Neurospora crassa OR74A: one gene and its partners. The protein of the gene in region 2 purifies or fractionates together with the protein of the main gene of each other region. This does not show direct contact. Links are inferred from orthologs where the notes say so. Each region holds a gene or a part of one and is shown on either strand. Other genes may lie near its edges. The genes, in order: NCU02967, rpn-9, rad23, rpn-2, rpn-3, rpt-5 and NCU07913.

Region 1 (3,354 bases), on a different chromosome or scaffold from region 2:
GCAGGTGGCGCACCCGAGATCCAGCACCCACGCGCTGGGCTCCATCGTTCCGACACGGGCTTCGACAGCGTCGACTCGTCCTCCTCTCCACACAACGTATTGCAGGACATGGTCTCCGTATCCACCATCGCCGCCGGGCCCTCGGTCCAGCTCGTGGAGCGCATGAGTGCCAAGATCCGCCAGCTTGAGAGCGAGAAGGTGACGGTGCGCGAAGAGCTGGCACGCATCTCCAAGCAGCGGGACGAGGCACGGGCGGAGATTGTGGCGCTCATGGGCGAGGTGGAGAATCAGAAGAAGGCGGCTGAGAGGGTGGCTGAGCTGGAGAGGCAGGTGGCGGAGGTGAATGAGCGATATGAGACGACGCTGGAGCTGTTGGGCGAGAAGAGCGAGGAGGTGGATGAGTTGAAGGCGGATGTGCAGGATTTGAAGGACATGTATAGGGATTTGGTGGAGAGGACTATGAAATGAGGTCGTGAGTGGTGAGTGAGAGGGGACGGACTGGGTAGTGATTCTTGCATACATAATAAACTATTCAAGATGGCTGGTAATGAAAATGAGTTGTCGTGTGGGTATGAAGGGAAGGGGACTCTAATGGACATGTGACTAAGGATGGCTTTCACTAATATTTTGGATATTGATGTCCATAAACCTTGGTTTAGCCCATAGCATCACTATCTCGTATTCATCGCCCTTTTTTCCGGAGCAAATTAAGTCAACGCTCGTTCTCCTCATCGTGTCATCTTCGCCACACGTACCCCCAACCTGCACCTGCAAACGGGGTAACCTAAAGCTCAATCCCCTCCTTCTCGGCCTCTTTCTCAATAAACCTCCTCACATCCTTATCCGGCGCCAAGTCCAATGCCAAATATCCATCCATATCTTTCTTGTCCGTCTCCGCCCCGGCCTTCAACAACGCAACAGCCGCATGCCCATGTCCCTCGGCCACCGCATGATGCAGCGGCGTATACCCCGCGTTGTCGCTGGCATTAATCGGCGACTTGTGCTGCAACAAAAGATTGATCATCGGCACGGACCCAATAGCCGCGGCGCGGTGCAAGGGGTATTGCCCCCGTTTGTCCTTGACCCGGACCGAGGCAGGCTTGGGTTTCATGTCTGGAGACAAAAGCTTACGCGCGAGGTCAATGTTGTTTTTGGAAGCAATGAAGTGTAGGGCGGTTTGCGATTGGTGGTTGGTTTGGTTGATGTCGGCGCCGCGGGAAAGGAGGAGGTCGATTATGGCGTCGGAGTCTTTGACCGAGGCGGAGATCATGAAGGGGGTCCAGCCCATGTCGTCCTGGTTGTGTGGTGTAAGTTGTAAGTGCTGAGTGAACAGAGGGAAGGGAAAGGAGAAAAAAAAAGTGAGAGTTCCTACCTCAACATCGGGATCAAAACCCTTTTGGTTCACGAGTAGCTCAACGACTTCCTTGCGGTTGTAGGAACAGGCCCAGTGGATGGGGAGACGGCCATCGTCGTCCTTGCGTTGAGCGAGCTTGGGGTTGGCCTGGTTGTGTGTTTAGTCATTTTGCAAGTATACGTATTTTTGAAACGACATCTCACTCACATTGAGGAGAGACTCGACGATGGACGCTGAGATTGTGAAAATGTCAGTATTCAGTCATTTCGTGGATGGTTTAACGAGTGTCCTCAACTGCTCAGCTTGAAGGGTTCTGGAGCTTTCTATGCTCACCTTTACCATCCCTAGCGGCAGCGTGAATTGCAAACTTGTCTTCTGCCATATTGATCAAGCAGATGGATTACTCAGTAAGAGAGGCCTCAAAGTCAATCAGAAAGTCGATTGAATTGAGTTCCAAGGATTTGTTTGATATGGTGATGATGCTGTTGCATGAGTTGAACGTCATGTAAGTGATGCCTTCCCCCGGGAGCTTCCATGAGGTGTGTGAAGTCCGAAAGAGGCACACAGTGTGAGCTCGACTGTGTTTGCCAAGACGCTAAATGTGCTAAAAGATGTGGCCCAAGCTCCCCCAAGCCAGGACGTCAGCAAAAATTCCCAGCCGCGTCCAGGCCGCGCCGGTGGCGCTCGTCGGTGCTCAGCACACTGTATCACTTTCATCACGCACTGCATCCAGTCTTCAACTTCAACTTTGACATCAAGTCAACAACCACGGCTCGAATTCGGATTTCATCACAACAACCGACTCAAAACCCCCTCCGGCTATATTGAAGAATAATTCGCACAAAGAACCCAAACGACGAAACGACCCTACCTATCCGACATCCGACCCTTAAGATGGCGGCCGAGGTTGCCAACAGCGCCGCCAATGGCTCTGGCCCTGACACCAACCCGCTCTCGACCATGATCCGCGAGAACGCTAGAAAAACGAAACTCATCTACGCCGCCACAGCCACAACTACAGATGCCTCTGGCACTTCCGGGAGAAAGCGTCTAAAACTCGACCCTGGGCTTGCGTCAGAAGATCCCGACATCACCAAGACCGGCCTATCTCTCCGTCTCCACGCCGAGTACAGCGACGTCCAGACCCTCCCCGAAGCCATTGCCTCCAAGTTGCCAGCCGGCGGACCACGCAAAAAGAAGGCCAAGCCAGCCATCGAAGAGGCTCCCTCAAAATCCGAAGAACACGCCCGCAAACTCATCGAGGGTATCCCACCGAGCAAGTCCGCCGCCGCCAACTCGAATGCTCTGGTCCTGTCGCGCAGCAAGCCCGGCGGCGCTGGCGCGTCGTCAACCAGACCAAATGCGCAACGAAACGAGCCCCAAACAAACAGCCTGGCGCGGCGATCCGACGTGCTGGTACAGCCCAGGCCAGATTGGCACCCACCTTGGAAGCTTCTCAAGGTGCTTTCGGGCCATCTGGGGTGGGTGCGTGCCTTGGCAGTAGAACCGGACAACAAGTGGTTTGCCTCGGGCGCAGGCGACCGCACTATCAAGATTTGGGATTTGGCGTCAGGAGCGCTGAAGTTGACTCTTACCGGACACATCTCGACGGTTCGCGGATTGGCCGTGTCACCGAGACACCCATACCTGTTCTCGTGCGGTGAGGATAAGATGGTCAAGTGCTGGGATTTGGAGACGAACAAGGTTATCCGACATTACCACGGCCATCTCAGCGGTGTTTATACCCTTGCGCTGCATCCTACACTGGATGTTTTGGTAACAGGCGGTCGCGACGGTGTCGCGCGTGTGTGGGATATGCGGACAAGAAGCAACATTCACGTCCTCTCTGGACACACAGGCACAGTAGCGGATCTTGTCTGTCAGGAGGCCGACCCTCAGGTCATCACAGCCAGCTTGGACTCGACCGTTCGCATGTGGGATCTGGCAGCCGGCAAGACGATGGGCGTCTTGACACATCACAAGAAGGGTGTGCGAGCGTT
Region 2 (3,822 bases):
CCTAAAACGGCTGTCAGATGCTACCGTCCGCGCGCAAAGGGTTATATCGTGGGGGAAGACGTACGTGGACAGGGTTGTACTTCTCTTGCATCCCATTGGATGTCAGGATATTCTTGACGCTGGCAAGCTTGTGAAGCAACCTGTCCTCGAAGCCAAACATGGGAGCTGGCCGGACAATGGTGGTTTCGGGGAAAATGCTCCTGACTACTTGCTCACCGCGCGCCTACAGATCCAATCAGAAACCCATAACGATGCGACTCGCTGGAAGAGGCTGTCTTGTAATCGTACCTTGGTGGCGAAGAACTCGCACTCCGAGTTGGGGTCTGCATTGTAAGACGAGACGTGGATGAAGCGGTCGACATCGTATTTGGCGACAGCTTCGGCGATGCGCTCAGCACCCTCGATATGGACGTCCTCGAACGAGAAGTTCCTGGGACCCAGGTCAATACTCGTGCATCTCCACCACAACCTTTCCCAGTAAATCCAGACTCACTTGGTCGGGTAGTCGCGACCGATCAGGTTGTAGACGACATCGGAGTGTCGGACGCTCTCCTCGATGGATTGGGTGTTGCGCAAGTCGAACTCCTGGAGTGGTGGTTATGCTTAGTAGCTGGATCCTTGCGCGTACGTGGGCCTCGACTGTGTGGACATGACTCTTGTTGTGGGGAAAAGCTCACAATCATGACCACCTTGCCCAAATCACCCGTAACTTTCAGATGGCGCTTGTTGTACTCGTCGCGGAAGGGAATGACGACAGTGCATCCTTGTCTCGCTGCAAATGTTCTTGATATAAGCCATGGTGATCTCTATAGAGGCCTACGCCACAAAGTCGCCAGATCGTACCTAGTCTGTTGACGATGTAGCGGCCGAGTTGGCCGGTCGCACCGAAGACTGTCGCCGTATGTCCACCGAGGGAGGAGCTGTGGAGGTAGACGACGTGTTAGCAATCGCCCATTCTACCCAAGCAGAGATATAGCAACAATTACCGGCCACCCTGGTTACGGATGATGGGCTTGCCGGTGCGGGTGATGGTCACGTCGGAGATAGCTCGTCGCTGAAAGCCAAAGGCATTGGAAACGATAATTCTGGGAGTCGACCGCATCGCGGCCGTCAAGGGAGCCATCTTGTGAGTTGGGGGGTGGCAGGGCTGGCCGGATCCCGTTCAATTGGTGATGGAATCAGAGGCTATCCGGAGCTTCAAGCTGCCGTCTTCAATATCGAATCCGGGACGTCGAAGCCGGCTCTCGCTGCCCGCCTGCTGCCCGCCTGCCGTCAGCACCCCCCCCCCCCCTTCAATGTACCCAGCGACCAAACTGCTGACGGGAATCACGTGTGCCAAGCTTCCTCACTTACACTCAACGGCAGTACGTACCTCTGCCAGATAGACATGTACCTTTTGGGCTCCCGCCTCCAGTACGTACCTTAGCTTCACCCAGCTTCCACTTGGCAGTGACTGTGGGGGCCTCCACAGTGCTGGGAGAGCATCCACAATGACCGACCGTAGCTGGCTGCACGCCTAATGCCGCGTCAAGGCTTCACTGCAAGACGTCAACCAAGACAACCTCAAAACAACACTTCCACTTTCATCCCGTCCTCCATTGTAGACGTACCACTGCATTGTTCCGCCGGGATTTTCTACAACGAGCAACATCCCACGATAAGTACGCTGGTTTCCATCCGCAGCAGACTCACCGACGTTTCCACCAAAGAGACCGGATCCTCGAGAATCTGCCTACCTCCCCAAGGACTGGACAGCAAGGATCGATAGAAGACTCAGACACACACACCCACACCCACACCCACACCCACACCCACACCCACACCTAGACACAACACCACAGCCATGAACGTCGACACCATCTCCGACTTCCTCGCCGAGCAGCGCGACCAGGCGCCCGAAGAACTCCAACCCCTCGTCCTTGAGTTCGAGACACTATGGGAGCGCAAGCTGTGGCATCAGCTCACCAACCTGCTGCTTGAGTTCTTCAACCACCCCGGCAGTGCCCCGCAGAGGCTACAGTTCTACAAGGTCTTCATTCTCAAGTTCGCCGACAAGATCAACCAGCTCAAGCTCGTTGATCTTGCTCTCAAGGCCGCCACACAATGTAGAGGTGCGCAGACGGTCTTCATTTCCTCTGCTTCCAAACATGCATCTGGCAGCTAGCACTAACCACGCCTGGGTGCGCAAACCGTAGACAACCAAGAGCGCCTCTCCTTTTTGGAAGCCGTCGTCAAGAAGGTCGACCACGAAGACTCTCAAGACGCCTATGTATTCGCCACGATCGCCGTTGCCCGCGTGAAGCTCGACCTCTCCGACCTTGACGGCGCGCGCAAGGACCTGGACACGGCCGAGCGAATCCTCGACAACTTCGACTCGGTGGAGTCGGTCGTGCACGCCGCCTTCTACGACACCAACGCCAAATACTTCCAAGCCAAGTCCGACTGGGGCTCCTACTACAAGAACGCGCTGCTGTACCTCGCCTGCATCGACGTCAAGTCACTTTCACTCGAGGAGCAGCGCCAGCGCGCCTACAACCTGGCCATCGCGGCCCTCGTCAGCTCGAGCATCTACAACTTTGGCGAGCTTCTGCTGCACCCCATCCTCGACGCCCTCACCATCGACGACCGGCACAAGTGGCTGCACCAGCTCCTCTTTGCCTTCAACCGCGGCGACCTTGCCGCATACGACCTACTGGCCAGCCACATCAGCTCGGACCCGCTGCTGGCGCAGCACACGCGCCAGCTGCGCGAGAAGATCTATCTGGCGGCGCTGACCGAGGCCGTGTTTCGCCGCCCGCCCCATGACCGCGCCATGTCTTTCTCCACCATTGCGAACGAGACCAAGGTACACCCCGACGAGATCGAGCACCTGATCATGAAGGCGCTGAGCTTGGATCTACTGCGGGGCACGATCGACCAGGTTGACGAGGTGGCCCACATCAACTGGGTGCAGCCCAAGGTGTTGGACATGCAGCAGATCAAGAACATGAGGCAACGGCTGCAAGAGTGGGATTCCAGTGTTGACAAGCTGGGTAACTGGATCGAGGGTGTGGGCCAGGATGTTTGGGCTTAAAGGGTGGACGAATCTACGGACGGTGTGAGGAGATGGGAACAATTCGGGCGTTCAAACGGATGGCATCAAACCTGGAGATACAGGAGTAAACCTAATGCTTAGATCAGGGAACAAGGCCAGCTAAAGGCATGATGTTATTCCGCTGCATGAGGCAGACCGACTTTGCATGATACATATGAATACCCATAACGCATGACAACGCCCACGGCGTACGTCCTCCATTCTCTAAAAATCCAGGCCCATGCTTTGGCCTGAGTTATGTCTATGTGAATCCTCTCCATGTACGCTCCATGAACAAAGGCAAATCCAAAATACGCCGGCAAAATATGCTTCCTTGAACGCCGCAAAAAGATCAAGTAGTGTACAAAACGTAAATGAGCCATCTGGCACGTGTTTACTGGAAACAACATCATACACAGGAAAAAAATATTTGCTGCTTACTTGCCCCTACTCGTACACCGTTTATCCGAGCTCAAGACAGGGACCGAACAATGTAAAAGAGAAGATAGGCCTTTGCGTTTAGCACATCAGACTTCTGGGCCAGTTCAACTTTGTGATCGTTAAATGCGAACCACTTAAATAAATGTGCCAAAGGCAGCGGGTCAGCAAGTCTAACCCTTCAGGAACTAGATGTGTGTCATGGTTCACTAGTCAGACTCACCTGGTCGCCAACCCGGCAATAAGAAATGTAGTGTCCGGTATCCATGTCGCCAACGTGCACAACAACGCATAGAAGATCGTAAGTGCAG
Region 3 (4,134 bases), on a different chromosome or scaffold from region 2:
GGATGGCCTGAGACGAAGTTACGACATGATACCTTTCTTTCACTTCTTTACCCCTGTATTTCTTTTTTCTTCCTCGTTCTCTTTGGCTCGATCTCCACTCAGAGAGTAAGAAAGGTCGCTGTTGTGGGAGAGATACCACCTTTTCCTCTTCTCCTTCTTCTTCTACTTTCCTTCTTCTTTCCTTTGTATTTTTCATATCTTGGGGGAGGGGAGGAGGATTTTGTTTTGAGGACGTGAATATGATACCTTTGATTGCGAGGCGTTGGACTTGAGTTCCATACCTAAAGATGGGTCTTGGATAGGTGGGATTTGTGTATAGAAAAGCTCGGCTATGGTTGGATAGAAGGATGGCTAGATGATGGATGGATTCAGATAGATGCTTCTCTGCGCTATGCGCGAGACGGACGACTGAAAGATGTAGCGGATGAGAACCGAAGAAGTCAGAACAAAAGATCGTGCCCACGAAATATGCGCGGTGACATTGAGCTGTGATTTTCCATCTAAGCTATGATGCTTAGACGTCCGACCATGACTGCGATGGAGATGTAGGTAGCTTGGAAGCTTGGGAATGGTGATGAGAGAAACCAGAATAAAACGATGTCTGGCTCAAATCATGTTTGCTGCCTTGAAAAGTAACCCCAATGCTACCGTTCCGTCGTTTTTGCGATGATAACCGAAGGGAAGGTTACTCGTAGTCAATTCAATGTCACGATCCACGTCGGGTCACGAACGTGACGGAGGCCTTATCTTATCTGGTGCTCTTTCCAAGGGAGCCTACCAATGCGTATGATTGGTACAGATGGAAGGTGTTCTTCAGCCCCATTTTATACGCGCTTATGAGTGGAGATCTATTACCTAGTATTGCCGTGACACTGCCATAATCAGCGATGACTTCATCTTCTTCATCGCAAAAAAAATTCAAATAGAATAAAAAGAGATGAAAGAAGATGGGTCCTTTGGATTGGCTCACAGCATGACATCAAACATTCCCCTTTGATTTTGCATCAACTTCCATCGCCAACGGAAGCATGTGGTTATCAGTTCAGTGACATTCAAAAGCAAGACTAACAAAGAAAACCAATTCATGTTTTTCAACGCAACAAGGCCAACACAACCTGGAAAGTGAATGGATCCATGGGATCAATCAGTCTGTGTTGTGTGTACAGACGGACGGGATGGCAGCGTGACGACTGTGACCTCTCCACCAGCTCCAGGCGGCAAGATGCCGCGCAGCCCCCCCCGCCTAACAATGGCCGCTGCCTTGTGCCTGTCCACTGCACTTTGCCTGCCGCTTCCCCCCAGCCATTCACTGCCGTAGGTAGCACACCGTGAACCTGGCTACCCGCCTGCTGTGCCCCTCTTCCATTCAGTGCACTCAGGTGAAGCGAACAAACCCCAAATTCTCCGCCTCAAAGCTGCCTCATCAGTCATCACAAGCCGCTGTAAAACGTTCAAGCTTCCCTGCTACCTTCCATATTTCTTGCCACAGCGATTACAACTATCTCCTCCCCTGTATGCCACCTCGCCATCTCTGCGGCAGCCTTCCCACACACATCAACCTTACCACAGCAACCAACTAACCACTTCCACTTTTTTTCCTCGTCCTCGCCCAACTCCGCCGACTGCAACAAATCTTGCTGTCTCCCATCGCGACTCGGAACCCAACGAAGCTCGCCCGTCCGGACAGACTTTACTTACATCATCAGACTCTCAGTGTCAACGTAGCAGCCGTTTAGCTGCGTCGCAGATTGCCCATCATGAAGGTTACTTTCAAGGTACGTGCCCATAAGCTTGCCCATGTCGAGTGTTTGACGTAGCCAGCCAGCCAGCCAGCCAGGCAGACAACGAGCCAGACGTACCGCGATGGCTTCTCAGCAAATTCGGAAACAACCCAGCGTCTTCTTTGAATCCTGTCTGCCTGGTTGGATCAGAGCTCGCTCCCTCTGTCCATAAGCTCTCAAAGTCTATATAGTCAAATACTAACAATGACTGTTCGTTCATCTAGGACCTCAAACAACAAAAGTTTACGCTCGAGATCGAGCCTACCGAGACTGTTGGTTACCCTTCGTCGCCTCCCATTTCCTTACACCCTTTACCTCAGGCCGACGTCATGGAGACATCCAACACGCCGTGACAGCCCTCGACAATCGAATGCTCTGTCGGCGTCGCGAGCCTCCCATGTCGCTTCGGGAGACGTGCATGATGCTGGCGAGCTAGAAGCTAACCGGTTGCAGATTTCCAAGGTCAAGCAGAAGATCTCCGAGGAGAGGGGCTGGGCTCCCGAGCTGCAGAAGCTTATCTACTCCGGTAAGCATCGCTTGCTTCTCAAACGATGGATACCGCTCCCGAATACTGACTTTACCCCAACAGGTAAGATCTTGAAGGATGAGGAGACCGTCGAGTCGTACAAGATCGAGGAGAAGGGCTTCGTTGTCTGCGTCGTGAACAAGGTACTATTTCCCCCGTTATTACTCACGTCCTTGTACAAAGATGAAGCTGACACTTTGCGCAGCCCAAGACCACTGCCCCCAAGCCAGCCGAGTCGTCGTCGTCTGCCGCTGCCCCCGCTACCCCCGCTGCCGCCGCCCCGGCCTCAACACCTGCTCCCCCTGCCGCTCCCGCGGCCTCCAGCGCTGCTGCCGCTGCCCCTTCGACGCCGACGCCCGCTAGAACCGCTGCGGCTCCTGAGGCGGCCCCAGCTGCCGGTGCTCGCGATGCCAACGCCCTTGCCATGGGCGAGCAGCGCGCCGAGGCCATTGCCAACATGGAGGCTATGGGTTTCGAGCGTTCGCAGATTGACGCTGCTATGCGTGCCGCCTTTTTCAACCCCGAGCGCGCTGTGGAGTATCTCTTGAACGTACGTTTCACAACTCATTCCACTTTCCGATCTATGTCTGGTTTACTGACACAGCTTTAGGGTATTCCCGCCAACCTCCAGCAACAAACTGCCTCTCGCCAGCCTTCTGCCGCTCCGGCTGCTGCCCCTGCTGCTGCCGCTCAGGCGGCTTCCCCCGCTGCTGCCGGTGGTGATGATGACGATCAAGTCAACCTTTTCGACCTTGCCGCTCAGCTCGGCAACAGCGCTGGCGGACGTGGTGCTCGTGGTGCGGAGGGTGCTGGTGCCGAGGCCGCTGGTCTTGGTAACCTCGACTTCCTCCGCAACAACGCGCAATTCCAGCAAATGCGTCAGCTTGTACAGGAGCAGCCCCAGATGCTGGAGCCTATCTTGCAACAGCTCGGTGCCGGCAACCCTCAGCTTGCCCAGATGATCGCCCAGAACTCGGATCAGTTCCTGAACCTCCTTGGCGAGGGTGGTGAGGGTGGCTCTGTCGGTATTGCTGTCACAGAAGAGGAACGCGATGCCATTGAGCGTCTCACCCGCCTGGGCTTTCCCCAGGACCAGGCCATCCAGGCCTACTTCGCTTGCGACAAGGACGAGGAGCTTGCCGCCAACTTCCTTTTCGATCAAGGACCGGAGGAAGATGACGACATGCCCCAACAATAAATAGGGGTGAGACTGTAGGCTGGAATGAGATATTTTTGGGTTTTTCGTAACTGGGCGTTAAAAGTCGTTGGCAGGGTGGATTTTCGTTAGCAGCTGCCTTTGCATTTGAAATGTGGGCGACGGCTGGATGGTTTGGGCTTGCTTAGGATGCATTGGAGACTTTATGATGACATTATACCTTAGGGAGCTCAAAATGCTCAACACTGCTGATCAACGTTCACATGCAATATACGGGTGGGCTTTGTGTGTCTGATCTATCCACTGCGCGACAGGTTTCGACGAGTTTTAGTAAGGAAGCATCAAGAGTGAATGGGGTGATGACACTGAAAAAAATGCTTCGCGGAGATCTAGATCAAGGATAACTACAGAGGTGTGGTGTTTTCACAGCTTACGAATCACTCTATTCTTTATGTACTCTATAGTCCTGTCCCTTGAAGAGTGAACGAAGCATTCCCATCACGAACCATAACCAGCAATGAAAACGAAGATAAGATCCGAGACCATGAAACCGTCCGCATACAAGTAGTATGATCAAGAACCCTTTTTTTTTGTGTGTCTCCATTTGTTTTTCCCTTCCCTATTTCCATACCTAACTAAGTGCCCCTCCGGTTGATGGGTATATAAAACCT
Region 4 (4,174 bases), about 2.5 Mb from region 2:
CCGTCGCCAGCACAAGGAACTTGGTGTCGCGGGTATTTGGACAAGGAATCGAGTTCGCAGTATGAAGAGAGTTCGTTCCTTCTTTGTCGAATAATTCGAAGGCGCAGTTTGGAGAAATGTAATGGTCGCGGGAGCTGATGCTGGTGTCGGAGCTGAGTGACAGAGACGACCTATGGTAGATATTGAGTGTATTCAGTTGTAGAATAAACAACAAGGTAGCTACAGTATAGCTCCCTATCCCATGTCGCGAATGTGTGGGGATGCTGAATATTGTGATAGGTAACTCTCGACTGGTGGTGAGAAATGACGAGAGGACAGACGGCCGTTCACGGGCAACTGGAGCTTATGACCGTGCAGTGTTGCACCAGGAGAAGAAAAAAAAAGGACAAAAGGAAGGGGAAAAAAAAATAGAGGCTAGAGTATCATCATGACATTGTCCCGCGCAAACGCTAGTACCATGTCAGTCAGTCAAGATATAAGTAGTGTAGTGTAGTGTAGTGTAGTGTAGCACTGATTTCGTTGCTATCTTCATGTCACACAGAAAAGGTGGGAAAGTGTTAGTGGTGGAAGCTATATATCCACTACTGTCGTGTTGGTTCAAGACCATCAGGTTGAAATTGATATGGATCACAAAGGGAGAAAGAGCACAGAAAAGACTTGGCTGTCCATGATGATGTCTGAAAACAGGTTGAAGCCAGGGCGAGTAGTCCAGGAACAGACAGAGATATTCAGACTTGTGGATTCCACTGGCACATGTTCAAGTAGTGTATCTAGGTAGTGTAGAATACTATGTAGGTATGTAGGTACCTTTGTACCTTGAGTCCATCCAAGTCAATGACATAGATGACAGTGTGTATTCCTGGAAATGAATCAAGTAGATTGCTACCTATGTAAGGTAGTTTCCTCCTACATTTGTGCTGGGAGCGCTACATAGCGGTACCCGACTTACCATAGCCAGGAGATCTTTATCTTTTTGGAGTCATGTTGAAATTATCATCCAGGAGTCCTGACTGGAACTGTCTTGAGAGTTTGGACGGACAGTCTTTGAGTTGGGACTGGAGAGAAGCAATGAAGCTTCAGCCTGTGTGAGCCGCCTGCCTCACCTGCCTCGTTGAGCTGCCTGTCATGGCTCGTGCGCCCGCTCTTGAAGCTGTTGGGTCCAAACGAATGAATGGAAAATCTCGCCTTCCGTTCAATCTTTCATTGGTCAACAGTCAAGGTATCTGGGTACATCCAGCCCAGCAATGGACCCACTCAAGGCAGGAGCTCCCTGACGTGGATGCTCCCCTCGGCCGTCAGTTCGTCACTGCAAACATGCCGTCGGCAGGCCCCAACCAGCCAACCAGCCAACCAGAACCTCTCATTCCAGCGCCCGCCAGCTCCATCGCTGCCCAGGGCACTGCTGTCCACTGAAGCCATCACTGCACCGACCTTGACGGCAACAAACAACTGAACGTATCTCGATTCCACTCGCTCTCCTCACCAAACAAACAACCCGAATCGCCTCGTCCATATCCCATCCCATTACACAACCACCACGCGGCGCACGAGGACGCTGGCTGTTTTGTACAATACCCGGGCATTAATAAACACCCAAATCTAAACAACAACCAGAAACCGCCACCGCGAAGCTCGCCGCCATCCCACTTCTTTTTCTAATCAACATCACCAAGATGCCCGGCCTCGTCACCGCGACCGGCGTGTTGGCCTTCCTCGCCGATGAGGAGCCCGAGCTCAAGGTCTTCGCCCTCAAGACCCTCAACGATGATATCGACACCGTTTGGACCGAGGTCGCTGGCGCCTTGACCCAGATGTGAGTAGCTCCCTGATACCCGACACCAAGCTACGCTGTTTAGTGTTAGTAAGCTCACTCAGCTGGGCACGCGAGCTGATCTGTCTATCTCTCTCCCCCCCCAGTGAGGCCCTCTATGAAGACGAGACCTTCCCCGAGCGTCAACTCGCTGCCCTTGTGCTCGCCAAGGTCTACTTCCACCTCCAAGCCTACAACGAGAGCATGACCTTTGCCCTGGCTGCCGGCCCCCTCTTCAAGCTCGACGCCCCCAGTGAGTTCGAGGAGACCATCATCTCCAAGTGCATCGACCAGTACATCGCCGTCTCGTCTCTCCACCACACGCCTTCCAAGAAGGACCTGCCTGCACTTGAGACCGATCTCGGCAGCGGTGCCATCGATAGCTCGGCTCTGATCTCCCCCACCACGCCCTTCTCGCAGTCTTCGGTTCCCTCCAAGTCCCTGCTTGCGCGCGCATCGTCCGACGACAACACCATCCTGGATCCCACCTTCCAGCCCACCAAGGAGACTCGCTCCGCCTCGATAGCCCAGGTTCACGACACCGCCACCCAGGTTGCGCTCCAGAACGTCATTGAGCGCCTGTTCGAGAGCTGCCTGAAGGAGGGCAAATATAGACAGGTGGTGGGCATTGCTGTCGAGGCCAAGAACCTGGATGTTTTGCGTCGCGTCATCAAGCGCGCCAACCAAGATGTCAAGTCCGGCAAGGCCAAGGTACAGGAAGGCAGCCAGGGGCCGGCGGAGGAGCTCATGGACTATGCCCTGAGCATCTGCATGGATATTGTCCAGGAACGCGGCTTCCGCACCGAGATTCTGCGCCTGATCCTCGATCTCCTAAACGACATCCCCAACCCGGATTACTTTGCCATCGCTAAGTGCGTGGTCTATCTTGATTCGGACGAGGAGGCGTCCCGGATGCTCCGCCAGCTGGTTGCCAAGGGCGAACAGGACTCCATCGCCATTGCCTACCAGATCGCCTTTGATCTATACGACAACAGCACCCAGGAGTTTTTGGGCAAGGTCATCAAGGCTCTGCCTTCTGGCGAGCCAGCCAAGCCCAAGCCTGCCGAGGGAAGCAACGACGCGGCTGCGGAGCGTGAGCCTCTTCTGGAAGGCCAGGAGAGCTCCGAGGAGGAGCTGCCCGAGGAAGTGGCCAAGGTCTACAAGAACATCCGCACCATTCTTGACGGTAGCAAGGTCATCAAGCTCAACCTCGAATTCCTCTACCGCAACAACCACGCCGACATGAGCATCCTCAACAAGGTGCGCGACAGCTTGGACGGTCGCAACTCCATTTTCCACAGCGCCGTCACCTTCTGCAATGCCTTTATGAATGCTGGCACAACAAACGACAGGTTCTTCAGGGATAACCTTGAGTGGCTAGGAAGGGCCGTCAACTGGTCCAAGTTCACGGCCACTGCCGCGCTCGGTGTTCTGCACCGTGGCAACGTCACTCAGTCCCGCAAGCTCCTCGAGCCCTACCTTCCCCGCCCCTCTGGCGTCAGCACGGGTTCCGTCTACAGTCAGGCCGGTGCGCTTTACGCTTACGGTCTGATTCACGCCAACCACGGCGCTGATGCTCTGGACTACCTCCACCAACAGTTCAAGGACGCCGATCAGGAGGTTATTCAGCACGGTGGCGCTTTGGGTCTGGGTATTGCCGGCATGGGCACTGGCGACCAAAAGATTATTGAGGATCTCAAGGAGGCTCTCTACTCGGACTCGGCCCTCAACGGTGAGGCCGTTGGTGCGGCTATGGGCTTGATCATGCTGGGAACTGGACATGCCGCCACTATCGATGCCATGTTCACGTACGCTCACGAGACTCAGCACGAGAAGATTGTGCGCGGTATCGCCTTGGGCATTGCTCTCATCATGTTTGGACAGCAGGAGGGTGCCGACAGGACGATCCAGCTTCTCCTTGCGAACCCCGACCCCATCCTCCGCTATGGTGGTGTTCTCACGCTCGCCATGGCCTACTGCGGTACCGGTAGCAACAAGGCCATCCGCAAGCTGCTTCACCTTGCCGTCAGCGATGTGAACGACGACGTCCGCCGTGTTGCCGTTATGAGCTTGGGCTTCATTCTCTTCCGCAAGCCCGGCAGCGTACCTCGCATGGTCGAGTTGCTCGCCGAGTCTTACAACCCGCATGTGCGCTACGGTTCGGCCATGGCCCTCGGTATCGCGTGCGCCGGAACTGGATTGGACGAAGCGATTGACCTGCTCGAGCCCATGATGAAGGACCCTACCGACTTTGTCCGCCAGGGTGCGCTCATTGCCCTGTCCATGATTTTGGTTCAGCAGAACGAGGTTATGAACCCCAAGGTTGCAGCCATCAGGAAGACGCTCAAGAAGGTGGTTAGCGAC
Region 5 (4,026 bases), about 560 kb from region 2:
TGAGGAACAAACGAAAAAAAGCATGCATGAAATGTTGATGGGTGGTTGTGCCCGATACACAGTGGATACGTCTAATGAACAAGTGAGGCAAGATGGTAGGTGATATACGGTTGTAGCGTATTTTCTCTAGCATAAGGCTCTGTCTCTTCTCTCTTCCCGTCTTATTTCTTGGCCGGCGATAGCACGATTCCATACCAGATTACTAGATACAACAGGGATGATGATGATGACTATTCCCAAGACCAAATTATAGGTATTGGGCGGGGTCTATCTAGGTAGTTTAGACTCGTGTGTGGTGTGTGTGTGTGTGTCTAAACATCTTAAATGCCCTCAAAGTCACCACCGAGATCATCCTCATCCAGATCGCCCTCCTGTATCTCCTTGGCCAAATCACGCTCGCGCTCTCGTGCTTCCTGGGCATTCTTCAGCTCGAGACGGTGCTGGTTCATGGGGAAACGCATGGCCTGCAAAGAAAGAATTTGTGAGCAACAAATCTATCATAACTTCTGGAATTTGAAAGGGGGAGAAAGAAAAAAAAGAAACATACCTTGACACTCTCATCATGCAGAGCCAAGCAGGCGCGGATACGGTCATGGAACGCCTCGGCCGGTTCGCTGGTGGCATACACGTCGCCCACCTCCTTACTCTTCATGAAGCCGCGCTCCCTGTCGAGCGTGGCCTCGATGACGCCGTCCCTGATCGCCTTGGCCACAATGTACTCGGCACTCTCCTCGCTGCCGAGGTGCAAGCGGATGCAAATGTCGCGGAGCGAAATGCGGCTGTAGCTCAAACTCATCATGCGGATGCCCGTCTTGATGACGTTTTGGCGCAGACGCAAAATCAAGCTATAGGTGCCGTCGCGGCGGAAGGTGTCGGCATGCTGGGCGATGGTGGTCTCGAAGTCCTCGAGGTTGCCGACGCGCACGGCGCGGACGAGCAGGAAGTACGGGTGGAGAGTGGCCTCCATGGTCAGTTGACGGAAGATGGCGCGGTCGGGGATGTCGCCCATGAGGAGCTCTACGACGAGCAGGAGCTTGGTGGCCGTCTGGCTGAAGCCAAGTGCGCAGGCGCTCGAGGGAGCCTTCCGTGTCGCCGCAGTGAGATGCTCATGGGCCTCGGTGTACCGTAGCTGAATAGCCCGGACACGGCCGAGGTAGTACAGGAAACGCGCGACCTGGTTGTTGGCAGCGTTCTCGGGGAACTGGGTATGCTGCACCAGCAGATCGGCCTGGGAGATATGCGACGTGAGGAGGTAGTTCCGGAGCAGGAGGACAATGACGGAAGCCTGGGTGTCGATATCCTTTCGTAGCACGGCGGTTCGGAGAGCGGCGAGGAGGATCGGGCGGATCGACACAATCGGCGACTGGGGGGAAGGCGGGAGGGGAGCGAGCTGCTCGGCAAAGAGCGAGAAGTAAAAGTACACCTTGGCCGAAAGGCTGTCTAATGTGCGGCGGTTGAGGGACTGGATACGCTCGGATAGGAAACGCGACAGGGCGAATCCGCGCTGGAACTGTTTGGTGTCGTAGAGGTGGACCTGCGCCAGAATGCCTAGGAAGATGTCGATCTCAGGAATCACCTCCTTGGGGTCCTTCTTGCCACCGTTCTTCGCTGGCGACTTGGATCCCGAGTCGATCTCCATGTCTGAGCTGCTGCCGAGAGTCACATTTGGCCGGTCGACAGCGAGCAGCAGGTGCTCGGCAACTTGAGTATTGGGTGAGGACGCGGAGAAGGTTTCTGAGACGACTTGTGCGAGGATGTCGGGCGTCAGGCGTTTCCGGATCGACGAGATGGATCGCAGTGCCCGTAGAGAGAATCTGGGATCGAACAGGGCAACAGCACGGTCTAGCAGCGCAAAGTTGCTCTTGATGTCTGCGCAAGCGAGTGATGGTTAGTTCAGCTCACAAAGATAGATGAAGCTGGGGACTGGGAAGGTACCGTACCGCTGATGGTTTGGGCGACGGGGTCGACCTGGGCCTCAACCTCGCCGGCCTTGGTGTCGTCTTCCATGGCAATGTCGCCATCGGCGTCGTTGGGAGGTTGCGCAGAGTTCTGCTTGTTCTTGGGAGGGGGGACTACGACGGTCATTTCGTCCTCGCCTTGCTTTCCCGACTTCTTGGTATCCTTGTCCGTCATGTCGAGATCCTTTCCACCCCAATAGCTTCCGTGCTCAAGTGGTTCCTTATCTGGAGCGGCTCCGGGTTTGGTTATAGGCTGGCTGGGCTGGAGGTCGTGGTTGCTGTGTTGGTAACGGCCCGATGGTCGATGGGAAACGGGGTGATGATGTGGTGGGGGTTGACGGTTGCGTTGGCGCGGTGGGTGATGTTGGAATGCTGTGGTGCGGTGATGATGACGCCGTTTTGGTGGGCAACCTAATAGAGCAGAGGTATGAGTTCGAGTTGCTTGGGGCGATCTCGCGAAGCGCGCCCTTCTTGCAAGCCTGGAGCAAGCACCTTTAGCAGCAGCAGCTGGCAGAGTCGCAGTGGATCTAGCTCTAGGCGGGGAATGGAGCACTAGAGGTAGAGAGGGAGGTATCTATGGGGGTGACTTCGTCGTCGGCGTTGTTAAGCGAGGGCCAAGGGCAAACTGCTTCGTCGTCGTTGTCGATGGATAACTACCTAGGTAATTCAATCCAAGCTGTGTACTCGGAGTTCGGTGCAGGAAAGGAAAGTTCAAGCTTCACAGACCCGTGTTTTGCTTGATGGGAGTTGTTGAGCTGATGATTGAAAGGAAGTACCTACCGGTCACGGTTGGGCCAGCATACAAGAGCGGACGACCAACTGAAGGGCCGCCCTGTGCAGTGAGTGAGTGCTATGGTGGCCTTCGGACAAGCTCCAGAAGAGCTTCACACATCTAGGCATTGTGATTGGCCAGATTGTCTTGAATGGGTCCACTGCGGCTCGTCACTGACGTTGTTGATGTGCTGCCTGTCGACGACGTCCAGGCAGGCTCGAGGCAGGGTACTTAGGTACTTAGGTACACCTTACATTACAAGTACTACAAGTGTAGGGTAGACAACATCCAAAACATCTTACCACCTCGACCACCAATGTAGACTTTTACAAACTGAGTTGGTCTTGGGAGACATGGCTCCTATTTCAGGATGGTGTTAGCAACCATTGCCTATACAATATATGGTCCTCGCTTTCTGTCTGCATTCCCAAGATGGCATTATCACGGGGTTGAATATGCATATGCCTCCTGAACCCTGCATCATCTGGCATATCACGGCAAATCTGCACTTGCTTGCAACCCATTATATTTGGAGCTTGTTTCGTAACCCATAAAGGATTGATGCTTCAACCTAAGCCATATTATGGGTAGCTCATGCCAGGGATAAGCATACAAGTATCCCGAGATGAATGTATTTCCTCCGTCTCATCCGGTACGCCACCCTTTTCCATTTCCCACCCCCAAAAGAATTACCACATCCATGCAAACAAGCGAGACCCGAAACCTCTTGTTCATTCTGGTCTGAATACCCTTCCATTAAAGATCCCCCTTGCCCGGCATGACCTTGGCGGCCTGCACCGCGCTCATCTTGGTGATCCACTGAGCATTGGGCTGCACCTTGCGAACCGTCCTGAGCTCGTCACTAGAGTAGCCAGGGATACGGATGTTGTAGGTACGCTCCAAAACAAGCTGGATATCGCGGATCTCAAGAACCTTGGATCCTCTCTCCTTTGCATTGCGGGACGCCGCGTGGAGGACACTCTCTGTAAAGCTATCGGCGAGACCAAGGACGGACTGAAAAGGAATGCCACGTTAGCTGGTTGTGTGGTGATGACTTTGTGAGTTTGCTAAAGGGGGTTAAGGAATGACCGCGGACTTCCGCAAAGAAAAACAAAGGATTATCAGGTTGCAAACAACGTACCTCCTCAACCTCAGGTGTCAAGAGATTTCCGTCTTGGCCCTCAGCCGTACCACCGCACACCTGCCGAACCAGCTCGTCCAGCTTCTTCTTGTTCAAAACCCTCTCACCCTCGCCCTCAAGCTGGTAGGCCGGGGTCTTCTGCAAGACGGGCTGAT
Region 6 (3,934 bases), on a different chromosome or scaffold from region 2:
CACAGAACCCCCCTGGCGTCCTATAGTGATATTCTGTTTTGGTCGTTCCAATATTTGATATGCTACGTATTGGCGGTAGCGAAGAGGAAGAGTGGTTGTGTTGTTCTAACGGAGTACTTCGGGTTTGTCGGATACCAACTATGAGGGATGGTGCTCTAACGCGGATGCCAGAATCATGCGGAATTCTGAAAAATATGGTGAAAATTCGAAGTCAGTGTTTGAACCATGAGAGATCTTTCTGGCAGACGACCGACACCTGGATCTTCATTCAAGCTGCAGGTCTTGATCGGTTTAGTTTTGAGGACCAAGCTTTGGATCATCAGGAGCGAGTTGCAATCGGTTGTACTTTGTACAGTTCACATCTTGAGCCACGAAAAAAAGGTAAGTAAATCCACACTATGGAAGACCCGCTCGAAAATCAATAAATGAGTCGTCGTAGAAGCAGCAAACCACTGGTGTAGCAACTCAAGGACGAAATGCAAGATGATATTGAAGAATGATCAAAATCAAACAACAGGTGGTCACATTGTCAACGGACCACATACGGAAACCCGTGAAATCTGTTTGATGCTATACTTAACATTTCAGTTTTACCAGGACAATATCGGGGCAGCGAAACCGGCGGACTGGAAACCGTTTCACCCTCTAGAATGAGAGTATCGGGTAGGCAACGTAACAGTAAGTTAACAAGAAGGCCAGCAAACATTGTTCATCAGAGTCATCAAGCCTCTGGGTTATCGAGAATTTGGATGGCATGGCAAGTCATCGGGGTAAAACGCTTCATTATGATACAAGACATGCCCAACCCAACGCTAGCTCTATTGCATGCCAAATTTCTATGAACCGTCCATGACCTTGCTGTTTGCCGTAGTTCGGTCGTCGCTTTCAGTACGGTAGGAAATGCAATAACATTAAGCGTAGAAGTTGACGGTCTGAACGCGTGGTCAGTAAGCAGCACACAAGCATTGGTTGTCTTGGGGAAAATACTCACTTCCTTCTTCTTGGCCTGCACCTCAGAAATAGCGTCAACGTAGTGTTCGTGTCCAATCTGATTCTTGCCCATACGGAGGGCAATCATGCCAGCCTCGACACACACAGCCTTCAGCATGGCACCGCCAAACTCATCCGTGCTGCGCGCCAACTCGCCCCAGTTAACGCCGGGGTTGACCTTCATCTTCCTGGAATGAATCTTGAGAATCTGTGCGCGTGCCTCCTCGTTCGGAAGAGGGAACTCGATCTTGCGGTCAAGACGACCGGAACGAAGCAAAGCGGGGTCGAGGACGTCGATACGGTTCGTCGCGGCGAGAACCTTGATACGGTCGTCAGAAGCGAAACCGTCGAGCTGGTTGAGGAGCTCCAACATGGTTCGCTGGACTTCACGATCGCCGGACTTCTCGCTGTCGAAACGCTTGGTACCGACGGCATCCAACTCGTCGATGAAGATAATTGACGGGGCCTTCTCTTTTGCTAGGGCGAAGCAGTCCCTTACGAGCTTGGCACCGTCTCCGATAAACATCTGCACTAGCTGGGGGCCAGCAAGCTTGAGGAATGTGGCATCTGTCTGAGCGGCGCAAGCTCTGGCAAGTAAAGTCTTGCCTGTTCCGGGAGGTCCGTACATCAAAGCTCCTATTCCTGAAGTTAGCAGCAATACCACAGCAGCGAGTTTCTGCTCCATCTTGGTGAAGACATACCCTTGGGCGCCTTGATACCGATCTTCTTAAACCGTTCGGCTTCCTTCATAGGCCACACAATAGCCTCGACAAGTTCGTCAATCTGTTTGTCGAGACCACCGACATCTGTGTACTTCTCCTGAGGCTTCTCGTCGACCTCCATAGCCTTGACTCTGCTGTCGTACTCGGCGGGCAACGTATCCAGAATAAGGTACGAATCCTTGTTAACACCGATGAGATCGCCGGGCTTCAACTTCTCGGGGTCGACCAAGCCGATGAGAGGGAGAAAGATGGTCTGTCTGGTCGATGTCTTGATGACTGCCGATTTACCCACGCGCGTGGCATCCAAGTCGATGTTGGCGCCCTCTTCGGAGGACTCGGCGGTCGGGTCAAGGTCCAAAAGTTCAACGACATTTCCTACGAGATACGGAAGTTGTCTGATGAGGCCAGCGTTAGTAGGGGAGGTTTCGCGGCTACTGAAGGCAAACCTTAGGGGAGTGTAGGGGGAATGTTTACCGGTTGTTGGCAATCTTTTCTTGGTTCTCCTTGATCTTGTCCTTCATGGTAGCCCTCTCATGTGATAACCGCTGGTATTCGCTCTTCATGATTCTGGCATCGTTCTCGAGGAGGCGCTTCCGCATCAGGATGTCCTCTGTGCTCAAACTCAGGATCTCCTCATCTAGGATGTCATCGGCCTCGGGCTCGGCATCCTTCATCTCGGCATCGCCATCTCCCTCTTTCTTGTTGTTCTTATCCTTGTCCTGATCCTTCTTCTTGTCCTCGCGCTCACGGCGATCGAGGTCGTCGAGTTCCTCAAGGGTCGACATGGCTGACGCAGACGGGTGCGAATGTGGGGTATCGGTAGGGAAAGTCGCAAGGGCGCAGAGATCGGGTTACTGATCCTCTGTATGTAATCTCCACGGAATTTGAAACGACGACGTGGAGTAGTAGTGGTGGTTAGTGATGAAAATCGCCGTTGTTTGCGTTGTGGTTGGGAGACCGGCGGTCGTGCTTGTAGTGCAGTGCTGCGTGGATGGTGGCAGTTGCGTGGTCGACATGCGGCACAGAGCTTCGAGTGCTGTCGGTGGTTGACCAGGAGCTGGGCTGCAGGCAAAAGCGCGACGTAACAAGGCCGGGTACCTAACGCCCCACAGTATGTACATAGTACTTCAGCTCTAGACCCCACTCTGACCCCAGAGTGAACCAGCCACAGCTGACTAACCACGCGGCATCGGCCATCCAGGTTCACGGTTTCAATTCAGTCGAGTTTCACTGCACGATCATTCATCTGCTGTGCTTCACTCAATTTCGATGTTCATGAAGTCTTAAACGGAGTTGACCAAAACCCTTGAGCTAGTCCCTTACGGGGAAGCGGCTCGATAACACAGGAATTGATTCGATACATCCCTCATCGGACTAAAAATATACCAGCGCATTACATTAGAGTACGAGAAGGCCGTATTCACACCTCTCGTCAAGTGTCAAGTATCAACTCTCCCAGGACAACCACGATGCCGGACTGATCCTGATGCGTTTGAGCCCCAATAACCACAGTCGTCTACTCGTCGTCCAAGATCCCGCTTGCTATCGGCCCAAAAATCGGTACTTCGTATCTGGAAACCAAGTCAGCTTTTGTCCACTCGTTTGGATCCCGGAAGACATACCTGTCTAACGTGTCGGCGTCCCTATAAGCATTAATAACCAGCCATCCTACCAACGCCAAATCCGCCAGAAATAACAGCCAGCTAAGGAAACTCGACCAAGAAATCAACAAATGAAGCACAAACAATGCCGTAAACAGCAGACTGGACTGCCATGCGTGGAACCTAATCCCCAGTTCCACATGTCAGCAACGCTAACTCCTCGACCATACCGAGAGATGGGTCTTGTTTCACTCACCTGACATAATCACTCTTCCGCTCCAAAATCAACAGCAAAATCGCTCCCAGCGGCGGCACTGCCAAATACGCCAAACACGCCTCATAATCCAGCCTCAGTCCCAAGCTCGTATCAAACTCGGACACCATCCCCTCTCGAGCGCCCAGCGCATTGAAATATTCGCCCATGCTTCCTCCTACTCCTCCTCCTCCTCCTCCACCACCACTGCCGTTCCTACTGTTGAACCCAATGCCACTGCCGATCCCATTGGCGGTGCCAGGAGTAGCACTCGGACTTTGATACCTGCTGATGCCCTCACCCGACCAAGCACGATGTGGTTGTGGGTGTAGAAGTGGCGGAGGCGATACTTGCGCTGGGCGCTGTTG
Region 7 (3,564 bases), on a different chromosome or scaffold from region 2:
ACTTCACCATTGCCGACAAGTTCGACAAGGACGCCAACACTGGCTACGCCACAGACAAGGACGGCATTCCCGACGGCTGGATGGGTCTCGACTGCGGCGAGGAGTCGGTCAAGCTCTTCACCCAGGCCATCAACGAGTCCCAGACCATCCTCTGGAACGGCCCCGCCGGTGTCTTCGAGTTCGACAAGTTCGCCAAGGGCACCAAGGCCACCCTCGACGCTTGCGTCAAGGCTGCCGAGGAAGGCCGCACCGTCATCATTGGCGGTGGTGACACCGCTACCGTCGCTGCCAAGTACGGCGTTGAGGACAAGCTCAGCCACGTCTCCACTGGCGGTGGTGCTTCTCTTGAGCTCCTTGAGGGCAAGGCTCTCCCTGGTGTTGTTGCTCTTAGCGAGCGTCAGTAAGTTTGTCCTTGGCTTTCAAAGGAGTTGGGAAGGAGATATAATGATGTTATGAAACCTCTCGGATATTGAATGAGAGATCATGACTGATGGATCAAAAAAACATATGATGATAAAGGGTCCTTGGAAGGATTAGCAGGGCCAGTCTATGATAGGCACTCAGTCCAAAGTCGATAAATAGAACAAAACAGTTAAAGTCCAGTTTTTATGATTCGAAGTGTGATGTGCGGATAAGCTTGACGAATCTGGTTCATCCCAAGATATTATTCGAGTTTATGCACCAAGTTCGAGACGAAGTCTATGCAGATCATCTCAATCCCGTGTTGATACCCAATGACTTGTGTCAATGACTACACAAGTCGGTACGTCTCCGGATATTGTCTCTTTATAGTCGGAGGGTCTCCTTCACCTTTCACTCGCATATCGAAGCCTCGCACAGCAATGTCACCGCAAGATCCCGGACTGAAACTTTGGTCAACATTGTATTGATGCGCCTGTCCTCCCCTCATATCATACTTTGTACAAGCTTCGAAAGTCCTCCGATTACCGCTTCTTGGCAGCCTCAACCTTCTTGAGCTCCTCCCTAATGGTTTGAAAAAGACAAGTCAGCAACTGTCGCTTTATACGGCTTTGCTTTTTGTTTCCTCCATAAAGTTCCAAAATGGTGTGATTCATTTTAACGCCTGACTGACTGGCCCAGCGCAATACGCGCCAACCCGGGTCTAGGATTTTCAATCCCAACTCCTAGCGCAAAGCTAGCTAATTACGTGAAGTGGAAGTTCATAGTAAAGGAGTAGGAGGAGGAGGGAGAGGGAAAGGGAGGGAGGGACGCAGGTAAAAAGGGAAGGAAGAAGGAAGGAAGGAGTACGAAAAGAAAAGGAAAAAAAAAACAAAAAAAACGTACTTTAGCTGGGCGGAAAAGTCGTCGCTCGTGTCGTCGTCGTCCCAGGACTCCTCCCATAGGTGCTTGGCCTCGTTGTTGCCCTTGGCGGCTTCTGTGTCTTCGGCTTCCCAGTCTATTTTGGTTATTTTGTTAGTTACATGTGCGGTACAACAGCTGGGGGAGCTAGCCTCCGCAGTTGCGCAAGTTGAAGGAAGTTTGGTATGTAGTGTCCGTGCCAATGATGAAGGGTATAGGCAGAGAGGTTGTTGAATGATATGATATATGGAAGCAGGTCGTGATGCGGTGGTGTTTGAAATGCGATGCGGCGTCCAGCAAAAGGTGCTTCTTAGCCATGGCGGGCAGACTAACCATCGACGGGGAAGTCCTCAAACTCGTCGTCCTCCTCCAACACGGCCGTCTTCTTCTCGGTAACGGGCTGCTCGGGCTTGGGCTCGGTCGACTTGGCGTCGTTCTTGGGTTGTGTTGAGGCCATTGTGAATGTTGTGATTTGTGTGTGTAGGTATAGAGGGATGGGACCAGCTGGACTGAAGCTGATGACGCTAGACGGATGGATTGTATCGACGAATTGTTCGAAAGGCGGGCAAACTCGTCGGGCGTACTTTTAATCACGTCGTGGTGATGATGATTGCGCTTGGTTTTGTTGTTTGGTATTATGCGCACGGAGGAGAATCGAAATCGTCGGTTTGGCGGCGGCAAGATGTTGGGCGCTGCGGTGGTTGATAGCTCTAGGTAGTAGCTTTTGGTCCGTCAGTCGTGACAGCTCGTGATCTTGTCGTTTGTTCCGTCAACTGCAGCTGCCGAGTGACGGGCCCCCAACCCAAGGCGGCAGCGAGACGACGTGCCAATTCGGCTTCCTCCGCCCACTGCACTTGGCCTGGCCGAGCCAGGGGCGGCAAGAAAGAGCACGGGCCATGTCGCAGATCTTGGCAAAAAGCTCTGGGACCCACTTTGGTATGTCCCCCGCCGCTGAGCTGTGATTGTGCTCTTGGTGTGTCTTTCTGTTTGGCATCGTCATTGATGTCTGGTCTGTACATATTGGAAGATCAACGCTGCACTGTTCAGGCATTGCAGTTCGTCCGAACCATCACTGACAGTTGCAGATGGCTTCCCATTTCTTGCATACTACAGTATACTGCCTGCAGTTAAGATTTCTAGTTCAACACGTAGAGCGCGAATCAGCCCACCAGGAAATCTTGGGTATAGAGGCAAACAACTAACAAGAAGAACTTCCTGCTGGTTCAGTTGCAAACACTTTGTCCCGGTAGCTCTATGGTGCGGCATCAAACCAATCTTCCGAGACCTTTGTTCTTTTCTCTTTTCCCCTCTTGTTGCAAACTGAACCTCATACATATCTGCTCAACTGAGCCATTGCGGTGAACCAGTTCGGGACTCCAATGTCACCTCTAGCAAGTGGTTACACGACATGGGATGCCGATATCTGCAGTGCTTATATCGAATCTGACCTAGAAGTCCCATTGAGACTCGATTGGCCTTTGCCCTGGCCATTCGCGAGTTGAGAGAAATGGATGATAGGTACCCCGGAGACTATATGGAGATCTGGGGGGAATCGGCCATTCCGTCATGGCTGGAACCCGGCTTTAGAACCCAGACCATATTCTTGGATGATGCAAGACCCAGAGGGCTACGATTGAGATGTAGATTGTACCGTACGGTGTGCAGAAGAGCGCGGCTTAGACGTGCCGGCTGCATTGGATATTATCTCCAGTATACCTTGGGATGGATACTGACACAACACAGTATCAAATGAAGGACTTATGACAGTTTATGCCACAGTTTGCCCAAGTTCCAGGGCAGCAACCTTGGAATGGAACAAGGTGTGAAAACCGCGGACGGCATCGGGGACCCTTTTTCGATTGTCTCTCTTGGAAAAGGCACTGTCTCTTGGACGCCTCGTCGCCTCTTTCCCCTCGTTCCTTTTTTTCCTTTTCCTCTTTTTTCTTTTCTCTGGGGCAATGCTACTACACTAGTTCCTTCACGTACTTGGGCGAATACTTAAAAGACCAGCCCCGCTGCTGACCACGAAGCCCTTTCAGAAACAAGCCGCAGCTCAGCCCAAGAACGAAAACCTGACAACAAACCTACGGTACATACGAACCTAATCCGATCATACTCGCATTTCTCCTTCTCATTGAAAAAGCTCCACCCGTTCGTCGAGTCAAGAGAATCAATGATCGGGACTTGCTTGATATCGGCAGGCATACCGTACCTCGAGACATCGACGACCTCCCTCCATTGGAG

The links.
Region 1: the proteins of rpn-9 (region 2) and NCU02967 purify together in Saccharomyces cerevisiae (affinity purification with mass spectrometry; 5 studies listed by BioGRID, with this or other methods). This does not show direct contact. The link is inferred for Neurospora crassa OR74A from reciprocal best matches to the Saccharomyces cerevisiae genes RPN9 and NAS6.
Region 3: the proteins of rpn-9 (region 2) and rad23 purify together in Saccharomyces cerevisiae (affinity purification with mass spectrometry; 5 studies listed by BioGRID, with this or other methods). This does not show direct contact. The link is inferred for Neurospora crassa OR74A from reciprocal best matches to the Saccharomyces cerevisiae genes RPN9 and RAD23.
Region 4: the proteins of rpn-9 (region 2) and rpn-2 purify together in Saccharomyces cerevisiae (affinity purification with mass spectrometry; 5 studies listed by BioGRID). This does not show direct contact. The link is inferred for Neurospora crassa OR74A from reciprocal best matches to the Saccharomyces cerevisiae genes RPN9 and RPN2.
Region 5: the proteins of rpn-9 (region 2) and rpn-3 purify together in Saccharomyces cerevisiae (affinity purification with mass spectrometry, with the first as the bait; 3 studies listed by BioGRID). This does not show direct contact. The link is inferred for Neurospora crassa OR74A from reciprocal best matches to the Saccharomyces cerevisiae genes RPN9 and RPN3.
Region 6: the proteins of rpn-9 (region 2) and rpt-5 purify together in Saccharomyces cerevisiae (affinity purification with mass spectrometry; 7 studies listed by BioGRID, with this or other methods). This does not show direct contact. The link is inferred for Neurospora crassa OR74A from reciprocal best matches to the Saccharomyces cerevisiae genes RPN9 and RPT5.
Region 7: the proteins of rpn-9 (region 2) and NCU07913 purify together in Saccharomyces cerevisiae (affinity purification with mass spectrometry; 5 studies listed by BioGRID, with this or other methods). This does not show direct contact. The link is inferred for Neurospora crassa OR74A from reciprocal best matches to the Saccharomyces cerevisiae genes RPN9 and SEM1.

What each region holds. Positions count from the first base shown.
Region 1 is NC_026501.1:8,551,798-8,555,151, forward strand, and holds NCU02967 (ankyrin repeat domain-containing protein), read right to left. Parts: upstream 1,882-3,354; 5' UTR 1,737-1,881; coding exon 1,688-1,736; intron 1,588-1,687; coding exon 1,562-1,587; intron 1,502-1,561; coding exon 1,373-1,501; intron 1,295-1,372; coding exon 785-1,294; 3' UTR 501-784; downstream 1-500. Other genes in the region: NCU02968 (hypothetical protein), read left to right, coding at 1-468; NCU02966 (pre-mRNA splicing factor prp46), read left to right, coding at 2,249-3,354. UniProt on the Saccharomyces cerevisiae protein: Acts as a chaperone during the assembly of the 26S proteasome, specifically of the 19S regulatory complex (RC) and appears to have an overlapping role with RPN14.
Region 2 is NC_026507.1:2,715,964-2,719,785, reverse strand, and holds rpn-9 (proteasome regulatory particle subunit), read left to right. Parts: upstream 1-1,468; 5' UTR 1,469-1,843; coding exon 1,844-2,111; intron 2,112-2,195; coding exon 2,196-3,073; 3' UTR 3,074-3,322; downstream 3,323-3,822. Other genes in the region: nuo40 (NADH-ubiquinone oxidoreductase 40 kDa subunit), read right to left, coding at 1-1, 65-223, 289-430, 494-585, 678-772, 844-920, 987-1,123; NCU02375 (ubiquitin carboxyl-terminal hydrolase 2), read right to left, coding at 3,546-3,647, 3,735-3,822. UniProt on the Saccharomyces cerevisiae protein: Acts as a regulatory subunit of the 26S proteasome which is involved in the ATP-dependent degradation of ubiquitinated proteins.
Region 3 is NC_026503.1:4,431,844-4,435,977, reverse strand, and holds rad23 (rad23-like protein), read left to right. Parts: upstream 1-1,334; 5' UTR 1,335-1,757; coding exon 1,758-1,775; intron 1,776-2,005; coding exon 2,006-2,053; intron 2,054-2,234; coding exon 2,235-2,307; intron 2,308-2,370; coding exon 2,371-2,450; intron 2,451-2,512; coding exon 2,513-2,857; intron 2,858-2,917; coding exon 2,918-3,505; 3' UTR 3,506-4,005; downstream 4,006-4,134. UniProt on the Saccharomyces cerevisiae protein: Plays a central role both in proteasomal degradation of misfolded proteins and DNA repair.
Region 4 is NC_026507.1:232,440-236,613, forward strand, and holds the start of rpn-2 (26S proteasome regulatory subunit rpn2), read left to right. Parts: upstream 1-1,374; 5' UTR 1,375-1,673; coding exon 1,674-1,813; intron 1,814-1,917; coding exon 1,918-4,174. UniProt on the Saccharomyces cerevisiae protein: Acts as a regulatory subunit of the 26S proteasome which is involved in the ATP-dependent degradation of ubiquitinated proteins.
Region 5 is NC_026507.1:3,274,541-3,278,566, forward strand, and holds rpn-3 (26S proteasome non-ATPase regulatory subunit 3), read right to left. Parts: upstream 2,801-4,026; 5' UTR 2,134-2,800; coding exon 1,941-2,133; intron 1,870-1,940; coding exon 548-1,869; intron 465-547; coding exon 321-464; 3' UTR 27-320; downstream 1-26. Other genes in the region: NCU02223 (hypothetical protein), read right to left, coding at 3,487-3,744, 3,872-4,026. UniProt on the Saccharomyces cerevisiae protein: Acts as a regulatory subunit of the 26S proteasome which is involved in the ATP-dependent degradation of ubiquitinated proteins.
Region 6 is NC_026504.1:3,450,359-3,454,292, forward strand, and holds rpt-5 (regulatory particle, ATPase-like-5 protein), read right to left. Parts: upstream 2,801-3,934; 5' UTR 2,498-2,800; coding exon 2,187-2,497; intron 2,108-2,186; coding exon 1,692-2,107; intron 1,627-1,691; coding exon 992-1,626; intron 933-991; coding exon 912-932; 3' UTR 435-911; downstream 1-434. Other genes in the region: NCU04413 (UPF0132 domain-containing protein), read right to left, coding at 3,229-3,283, 3,335-3,496, 3,570-3,934. UniProt on the Saccharomyces cerevisiae protein: The 26S proteasome is involved in the ATP-dependent degradation of ubiquitinated proteins. The regulatory (or ATPase) complex confers ATP dependency and substrate specificity to the 26S complex.
Region 7 is NC_026504.1:1,371,871-1,375,434, forward strand, and holds NCU07913 (hypothetical protein), read right to left. Parts: upstream 2,137-3,564; 5' UTR 1,778-2,136; coding exon 1,654-1,777; intron 1,418-1,653; coding exon 1,306-1,417; intron 985-1,305; coding exon 945-984; 3' UTR 501-944; downstream 1-500. Other genes in the region: pgk (phosphoglycerate kinase), read left to right, coding at 1-404; NCU07912 (hypothetical protein), read right to left, coding at 3,319-3,564. UniProt on the Saccharomyces cerevisiae protein: Versatile protein that might stabilize multiple protein complexes involved in diverse pathways. Subunit of the 26S proteasome which plays a role in ubiquitin-dependent proteolysis.